Yarrowia lipolytica: one gene and its partner. The protein of the gene in region 1 interacts with the protein of each later gene in a biochemical or structural test. Links are inferred from orthologs where the notes say so. Each region holds a gene or a part of one and is shown in the gene's direction. Other genes may lie near its edges.

Region 1 (5,095 bases):
GTCTGTGAAGCGTATGTATACTCACCGATGGTGGTGCCGGCACTGTGGAGGACGTAGTGCAGACCTGATGCCTTGATGACTCGAACCACGTCGGTCACGTACTCAGAAACTGAGGCGTTGCCTGTTCCAATCTGTGTTAGTCATATTTCGGGGTACATTAATTGATAGTATCGGCGTAACTCACAGGAATGAGGCAAAGGTCGGCAAGGCAGTGGAGTGTGGGCATGATGTTGTGTAATGTGTTGGGGTAGAGTGCATGAGATATGAGTATGTGGTTTATCATGTATATGAGTGTTGAATTGAGTTTGCCTTCGAACTGGCTGAGTAATCTGAAATATATACAGGAGCCTGAAATGTCTCAATTGTGGTTGAACACAGTTTATACGGTGCCTGGTGGCAATCATAGCAACCCCGAGTGTGTCGCAATTGCTCTCAAAAAAATAAGCTCTTCCACGGAAGGGCAAAAAGATGGCGACATCCGCAGGATTCGAACCTACGCGGGGAAACCCCAAGAGATTTCTAATCTCTCGCCTTAACCGCTCGGCCAGGATGCCATTTCGAACATAATATTTATTTTCTTGGGACGCAAACAACAGAACTCAGATGACTAAGCCGAATCATTAGAAAAAAAAAAAAAACGGTGATGAATCATTAGAATACAACAAAACAAAACAATACCACGAGACCACGACAAAGACAAGAACGAGACGAAGCGTCGACAAACCAACTGACGTGCGCCTCTCAGCGCACACCGCAATGATTCAGAAGTGTATGATTTATTGAACGCCAATAACCCGGCTTACAGCTTATTCTAATTTTTTTTTCTTCTTCACTACAGCTATATACCTACAGTATGTACTTGTAGTAAGCCGGGTTATTGGCGTTAAATAAATCATAAATCGTTTCGGTGTGCGCTGCGAGGCAGGGTTTTTTTTATTCTAATGATTCACGTTTTTTTTTTTATTCTAATGATTCATTATGTCACGTGATATATCTTTCCCATCATATAGGTCCAACCAAATTTATTGAATAACGGTTGCGGCCATTATCCTGGTGGGAAAAAATACGGCCTTCCCGTCCGATCAGCCATAGTCCAAGCACCAGGAGAGCCTAGTTAGGTATTGTAGTGGGGAGACCCATACGAGAATCCTGGGTGCTGCAATCTTTTTTTTCCCCTGATGGGAACTTGCACTGGAGTTTTGTGTGTCAATAGTCTTCAAAGGGCAAACAGTACAAGTAGCTACTCTTACATTTCTTCAACCAAGAAAACAACCCAGTCACTTCTCACCAAAATCATCCGAGGTCATGACGACACCAAGATTGTGCAGCCCCTCAAAGCGTTTTTATTGTGCTGACAGAACCTCGCTTGTAGAGTTTGACGTACGGGTGAGGTGGTGATGAAGAAGTGGTGTGCAAGTGGGATCCATATCGAAGTTGAGGCGTAAGACAGGATGGCCTAGGAAATTGGTCAGTCAATATTATAATCGGATGAACAATTTGAGAACGCCGTAATCCTCATATAGCTTTCAGATCAAGTATACGTTGTTGGAAGTCTACTGTAGTTAAGCACAGTCTAGTGGTTTTGTTGTGGGGCATTGGGGCGTGTGATATGACCTATGCACGAGTGAAAAAATGGGATATTTTATATGGAGATCATATCACAAGAAGCCAAGCTTGTATTGTTTTTATACCACCTACCTACTCTCAATGTTTGGTTATGGATGACATATATATCTCCTTTGTAAGGTAAGTGAGGTTACAGAGTTGCATGGAATTTTATTGTGGAGATGTGACGTTTGTGGGACCCTTCAAAAGAGGGGTTGTTGGTGAGATGTGTAAAATCTGAGCAGATCATAAGAATGGTGTTGGCTCAGATATTAATGTGGAGTACAAACTTCACCGCGTAAACCAAGTATAGGTGATGTCCACTTCTCCTCCTCGTCATAACCTGACTTTAACTTTGGACATGCATAGTAGACAATTTTTTTTAAATTGGATTTGCAACTTTTCGCACAGCACACAAAAATGGTACGAAGTCGTTCCAACTCCGTTAAGAAGGATTTGAAGCGCAAAGTCGACGAGCCTGTCGACGTGCAAGACGAGTTCGATGTCGAGGGACTCATTGATGAGGGCGACTCCGACGACGAGGATGAAGCTGAGCAGGAAGTGGCACAAGAAAATGTGACAAAGGACAAGAAGAACACCAGCAAGACTGAAAACGAAGAAGATGCCGACGATGAAAGTGACTCTGACGCCGAGCTTGAGGCACTCATCGGTGAAGAGGAGGATCTGTCTGGAAGCGAGCTGGAAGACGAGCTGGCTTACTTTTCTGATGCTGGAGACGACGAGGTCGACCCCTCGATTCTAAAGCATTTGGATGACGGAGTTCGTCTGCGATCTCTGTCTCGATCTTCCGACCAGACTGATGAGCTCAAGGACGTGGTTGAAATTGTGCCTGGAGCCGACGGCAAGCCTCGAATGATCAAGAAGGAAATCCATGCTGTCTACGACTCGGACGATTCGGACCAGGAGGAATCCAATACCATTGGAAACGTGCCCCTGTCTGCCTACGACCAGATGCCTCACATTGGATATGACATCAACGGTAAGCGAATCATGCGACCCGCTACCGGTTCTGCTCTGGACAACCTACTGGAGACGATTGATTTGCCCGAGGGATGGACCGGCCTGCTAGACAAGAGCACCGGAAAGGGTCTCAACATTTCCAAGGAGGAACTGGAACTCATCAAGCGGATTCAGAAGAATGAGACCACCGATGACGCCTCCAATCCCTACGAGGACCTGGTGGAGTGGTTCTCTTCCAAGACAGAGATCATGCCTCTGTCTGCTGCGCCCGAGCCCAAGAGACGATTCATTCCCTCCAAGCACGAGGCCAAGCGAGTCATGAAGATGGTGCAGGCCATTAGACAGGGTAAACTGCTGACAAAGCCCAAGGAGGACCCTGACGCCCGACCCAACTACGACGTGTGGGCCGACAACCTCACGGACGTCCAGGACCACGTCATGACTCTGCGAGCCCCCAAAATGCCCCCTCCCACCCACGACGAGTCCTACAACCCCCCTGCCGAGTATCTGCCCACCGAAGAGGAGATTGCCGAGTGGAATGCTCTTGCTCCTTCCGAGAGAGAGCGAAACTACGTGCCCAAGAAGTACACTGCTCTGCGACATGTGCCCGGCTACTCCGAGTCTGTTCGAGAGCGTTTCGAGCGGTCTTTGGATCTCTACCTGGCTCCTCGAGTGCGAAAGAACAAGCTCAACATTGATCCCGACTCTCTGATTCCCGATCTCCCCTCCCCCAAGGATCTCATGCCTTTCCCCATCAGATGTGCTACCACCTACAAGGGCCACAAGGGCAAGGTTCGAGCCATCTCTGTGGATCCCAGTGGAGAGTTCCTTGCCACTGGAGGCGACGACGGAACTCTTCGAGTTTGGGAAGTGCTCACTGGTCGAGAGCTGTACCGATGTCGTCTGGTGGCGTCCATTGATGCTCAGGATGACTCAGTCGAGTGTGTGCAGTGGAACCCCGCTGTCCCTGGCATGCTGGCTGCCTCTGCTGGTGAGCATATTTTCCTGATTGTGCCTCCCACGCTGTTTGACTTTGATATCGAGAACACCGGCCGAGAGAAGATTGAGCAGGGATGGGGTTTTGCCGAGGGAGGACGAGAGCAGCAGGATATCGATACCAAGGGTCTGGATGACGATGCTGACTCCGACTCGGACGACGAGACCGGTCACGTCAAGAAGAAGAGCCCTCCTGCCAAGTGGATCACCCCCACCGCCAAGCAGCAGGCCTCTGGTATTGGAGCCATCATTACCGCCACCAAAACCATCAAGCGACTCGCATGGCACCGAAAGGGAGACTATCTGGTCACTGTGGCCCCCTCGGCGCAGCACAGAGCCGTGGCCATCCACCAGATCTCTAAGCATTCGTCACAGTCGCCTTTCAATAAGTCCAAGGGTATTGTGCAGGACGCCATGTTCCATCCCTTCCGACCTCATCTGTACGTTGCCACCCAGCGATACGTGCGTATTTACGATCTGGCCAAGCAGGTCATGGCCAAGAAGCTTATGCCCGGTGCTAGATGGGTGTCTTCTCTGGACATTCATCCCCGTGGTGATAACGTGATCCTGTCGTCGTTCGACAAACGGCTTCTGTGGCACGATCTCGACCTCAGTGATAAGCCCTACAAGACCCTGCGATACCACGAAAAGGCCGTGCGGCACGCAGCATTCCACAAGGGTGGTCTGCCGTTGTTCTGCTCCGCTTCTGACGACGGTAATATTAACATTTTCCACGGCACCGTCTACGACGACATGATGACCAACCCTCTGCTGGTGCCTCTCAAGGTGCTCAAGGGCCACGATGTCAAGAGCGGTCTGGGTATTCTGCGGGTTGAGTGGCATCCCCGGGAGGCTTGGTTGTTTTCAGCCGCTGCTGACGGAACTGCAAAGCTGTGGACCACGTAAGGAGTGGTTCACAAGTGCGCGAGGATGTGTTGGAATCTTCCAATGGTGCATAGCAACAATGCTAGGAGGTAGCAAAGTTGTCGTTTAATAAAGATATTGATAGAACTGACGCCAGTAAAAGGTGCGAAGCATGAACTGCTCGGGCTTGACGAGTATGAGTACTTGTAGTACAAATAAGAGAAGTACAAGGTGTAGTGGGTGAAGAGTGAGTAGTGTGAGGGATATGGGGAGTACGAGCTGTGGTACAATACCGTGAAGCTGTAACACGAGAGCATGGTAGAAAAGTTGAAGCACTAGTAGGTCAGATCAAGTAGCGACAATGCCACAAATGCCCGTTTCCGTTTAGGTGGGCCCGCCAACTGAGCAGATCCCATAATATCGTTTCAAAGAGGGCTAAACTTCGCCAATGGAAATAGATCTGCATTAATCCAGACATATTTGTATGAGTGCAAGTAGAGGAAATATATATATATAGTATATATATATATATATTATATTGCTCAAATAGGGTGTGAAAGTCTGGAAAGATTGACATAGCTGCCACTCACCCTTGTCATAGTATTGTTCTCAGTAAATGATGGGTGCTGCCATCATTTGCAGTAGAGAA
Region 2 (3,906 bases), on another chromosome or scaffold:
GCACGCCAAGGCCAAGTCTGTGGAATCTCCTCTCTCTGAGGAGGAAGAGCGACTTGTGCGACACATTGAGGCCGAAGACCAGGCTGTGGAGGCCCGTGTGGCTGCCGGAATCGTCAGTAGCAATGTACCCGACGTGGTGTCTTCCAATGACTCGGATCACGTGAGATCTGACACTTCCACTGAGAACAAGTCCTTTTCACGGTACTTTGACCGTACTCTCAGCATGGCATCTTGGGACGATGTTCTGGCTTACATTTACAGACCCAAGCGAGCTACTGTGCCCAACAAGCGGTCTTCTGGAGCTCCTCCTTCAGTCAGATCCACAAGATCGCCTCTTTCGGACCATCCCATCACGTCTTCGGGAGACGAGTCCGACCGAACCATTTCTGCACATGCCCCTTCCGGCGGTGCCGGTCGAGGCCGGTCTCATTCGTCCATCTCGCGAATGTGGCGATACCTGAAGAACTCGTCTGCCGATGAGGCCACCCGGTCTCGATCTCGAGATGCAAACGGAGCCGGTGCTCCCCCTGCCTACGAAGAAATCTTCCCTGGCCATGGGGTTGTCCACGACAAGAAGGTTGTGCAGATGGCCGCTGCTTCTGCTGCCGAGAACTCGTCTGGGCCTGTTGGAGCCTCATCTTCAGCAGTTGCGTCCACTTCTGCGGCTGCCGCTGTGGTGCCCTCCCCACTAGCCCCCATTGTGGAGGACGAGGAGCAGCTGGTAGAGGCCTGGAGACGACAGCGACGATCCATGGCTAACGATCGCATGTTATTTGCCTTCTGGCTGCCTGTGCTGCTCATGGCTATTGGTTATATGGTCATCAAGGCGTTTGGTCTGTTCCCCGACCAGGTCTCTGCCGTTGAGTCTGTGGCTGAGACTGTGGGTGTCCACTGCCGTGGAGCAGTTGCCAAGCTATGGTTCAAGCAGTACCCTGTTCACCGAGGCCAGCCACTCAAGGACACCTGTTCATTTGAGCCCAACAGTCTGGTAGAGTCAGCTCTTCGTCAGATGAATGGGTGGTCCGACCGGGAGGTTCCCATTCATCAAGCCCAGGCCCAGGCTGCATGAACACGAACAAGCGGAAGAAGTCTGTGCAAACGCGAACGCCTGTATAATTGTATCATCTAATTAATTTATTGTATTATGATCATTTAAATGAGAAACTACTGTTTTTTAAAGTCCATCTTTGTATCTCACTGTCAAGGTCTCAGTTACAGTAAGTTTAGTGTCCACAGTACAGTGTCCCAGGCATCGGTCTCGGGATGGACCCTGGAACTGTAAAAGTGTCAGATGGGTTTGGTAGAGTGACGCTGAAGCGACGTCGGGGATCATACTGGCAGGGCTAAGGGATGCGATGAACGAACAATTTAATAAGATCGACTGTCCAATTATTATGATTAGGGTGATTTATAAGCCCTTCCATATATCCCTTCTACTGTGCTACCTACACTCTATCAACGTCTGATCAGTAATTATCAAGACGCAACTCATCTCTGCTTCAAAGTTTGCTATCTACGAATGCTTGTACTGTATGGAGTGTGTACTGTGTAAAATATTGAGTAGTGATTAAGAGCTCCAAACAGGGGTTGAGGCACACAAAGGGTTGGGTAGCGTCGACTTTGCCCCTCACACTAAGAACACAACAGCAACTACAACATTACAACACTTCCCCTCTCTCCTCTCTGGATCCAACCTCAGACCCTCCCAGGCCCATGTCTCCTCCCAACCACGGCTACAAATTTAAACTCGGCATACAGGAAAAAAAATAATGCAGCTGGCAAAACAAATCACCATACCGTTATTATCACCACACACAACCCATCACACAACTTTACCGAGATGACCAACCAAGAATCGCAGTCGGTCAAGGTGGTCTTCGTGACCCGGGACGAGACCCTGCAGCCCGAGGCTCCCCTGCCTCCCGTCATGGTCCCTACTTCCCTCAAGCGTCTGGGTCTGTCTGAAATCGTCAACCAGCTGCTGGACACTGAGACTCCTGTTCCTCTTGATTTCCTCATTGTGAAGGCTACTGCCGGCGATGGAGGAGCTTCGATTCTCGACGAGGAGTCTGCCTCTTCTTCCTCGGTGCTTCTACGACCAGGAGCCTCCCTGGAGTCTTTCCTTGCTGACAACGGTTTGTCTTCCGAAGTCAGTCTGTCGATCGAGTACATTCGATCTGTGCTGCCTCCATCATTTCTGGCCTCTTTCTCCAACCCCGACTGGGTCGCTGCTGTCGATATCAACGCCCGGTGGACTGGCGATCTGAAACCCGTCATCGCCTCGGGATCTTACGACGGAGTCGTGCGTCTGTGGGACCACTCGGGTCATGTGACCGGCCAGCTTGTGGGCCACAACTCCGCCGCCAAGGCTGTGCGATGGATCTCTAATGACCAGCTCGTTTCTGGAGGTTCCGACCGACTTTTGTACCTATGGAACCCCGACGGAAAGAAGTACCGACGAAAGGAACCTGGACAGGTGGGCAAGAAGGAGCTCAACTACGACAGTGAGGAGGACAGTGATGAGGAGATGCTCGATGAGCTTCCAGCCGCCTCTACCGTGACCCCTATGGCAGCTCTACATGGACATACCGCACCCATCAACGATCTTGCTGTTCACGCCAAGACCGGAAAGATCATCTCCGCCTCCGCAGACGGATCCGTGGGTCTGTGGTCTACCGACTACAATGACATGCCGGCAATTGAGCCCCATACCGCTGCCGCTGGCGGTCTGACTTCCACTTCTGCACAGAAGCGACGAAAGCTCGCCAACTCCGGCTCTGGAGCCACCGGTCTGGGAGCTGCTCGTCAGCGAGGTCCTCTGGCAGTCATGGGCGGCCACTCCGCCGCCGTTTCGGCCGTCGCATTCCATCATTCCGACCCCACAGTCGCCTACTCTGTGTCTCTGGATCACACCATCAAAACCTGGGATCTCGCCACCGCCGAGGCTGTCCAGAGCAACGCCGGATCCCCCGATCCTTCGGTCGATACCCGATCCACCTCCTTTTCGCTTCTTTCCCTTTGCACCCTGCCCCAGGGTCTCATTGCCTGCGGCTCTTCAGCCCGTCACATTACCCTGCACGACCCCCGAGTAACTGCACAGGTGGCAACTCAGGCCAAGCTGGTGGGCCACACCAACTTCGTGTCGTCGCTGTCGCGAGGACCCGAATCCAACCCCTTCCTGCTGGCTTCAGGATCTCACGATGGAACTGTCCGAATATGGGATGTTCGAACCACCAAGTCTCTGCACGTGATCCACCGAGAGACTCTGACAGAGAACAATGCCGTGTTTGGCGTGGACTGGAAACAAAACCTGGGTATTGTCTCTGGTGGCCAGGACAACAAGATCCAGATTAATAACAACCCCCAGAGCGCCTAAGGCACCCCAGGGGTTTTTGCATCATGTACGTATAGGTAATTGTAGATATAGAGGAGAGGGTGTGTCAGTAGGCTACTTGTAATATTGTGATAGAGTGGAACAGGTTGACTTCGTAAATGAGTTATCCTATGTGCTCGATCTATACTGTAACTACTGTAGCTACAAGAGTGCACGTCGCGTGGTACAACTCAAGTACAAGTACAAACAACGCTAGGTTAATAGTTCATTACCGGAAGTGACAGGCACAAGTTCGGGGCAACTAAAACAGGCACTCGGGTACAAGTACAATTACATTATATTGCTGTTGTTGTTATTGCCTTTGTTTCCTGTCTTTTTTTTTTCTTCCTTTTTTTTTGTTTTTTTCTTATCACTGCTGAATTGGTCCTCCATGGTGTGATACAAATACACCTGTACGTACAGTACTCGTACTTGTACGGGCAAATTCACCAACACATATCGACAAGAATCATGAAGATTTTTCTTCGTCAAACAAACCAAATCAGACATTCTTTTATTGATGGACCTCCTGA

Evidence for each region.
Region 2: the proteins of YALI1_E31351g (region 1) and YALI1_B16194g form a complex in vitro, tested with the Saccharomyces cerevisiae proteins (2 studies listed by BioGRID). The link is inferred for Yarrowia lipolytica from reciprocal best matches to the Saccharomyces cerevisiae genes ERB1 and YTM1.

The regions. Positions count from the first base shown.
Region 1 is NC_090774.1:3,132,064-3,137,158, reverse strand, and holds YALI1_E31351g (uncharacterized protein), read left to right. Parts: upstream 1-2,025; coding exon 2,026-4,488; downstream 4,489-5,095. Other genes in the region: YALI1_E31369g (uncharacterized protein), read right to left, coding at 26-131, 185-226.
Region 2 is NC_090771.1:1,617,335-1,621,240, reverse strand, and holds YALI1_B16194g (uncharacterized protein), read left to right. Parts: upstream 1-1,840; coding exon 1,841-3,376; downstream 3,377-3,906. Other genes in the region: YALI1_B16239g (uncharacterized protein), read left to right, coding at 1-1,069. UniProt on the Saccharomyces cerevisiae protein: Component of the NOP7 complex, which is required for maturation of the 25S and 5.8S ribosomal RNAs and formation of the 60S ribosome.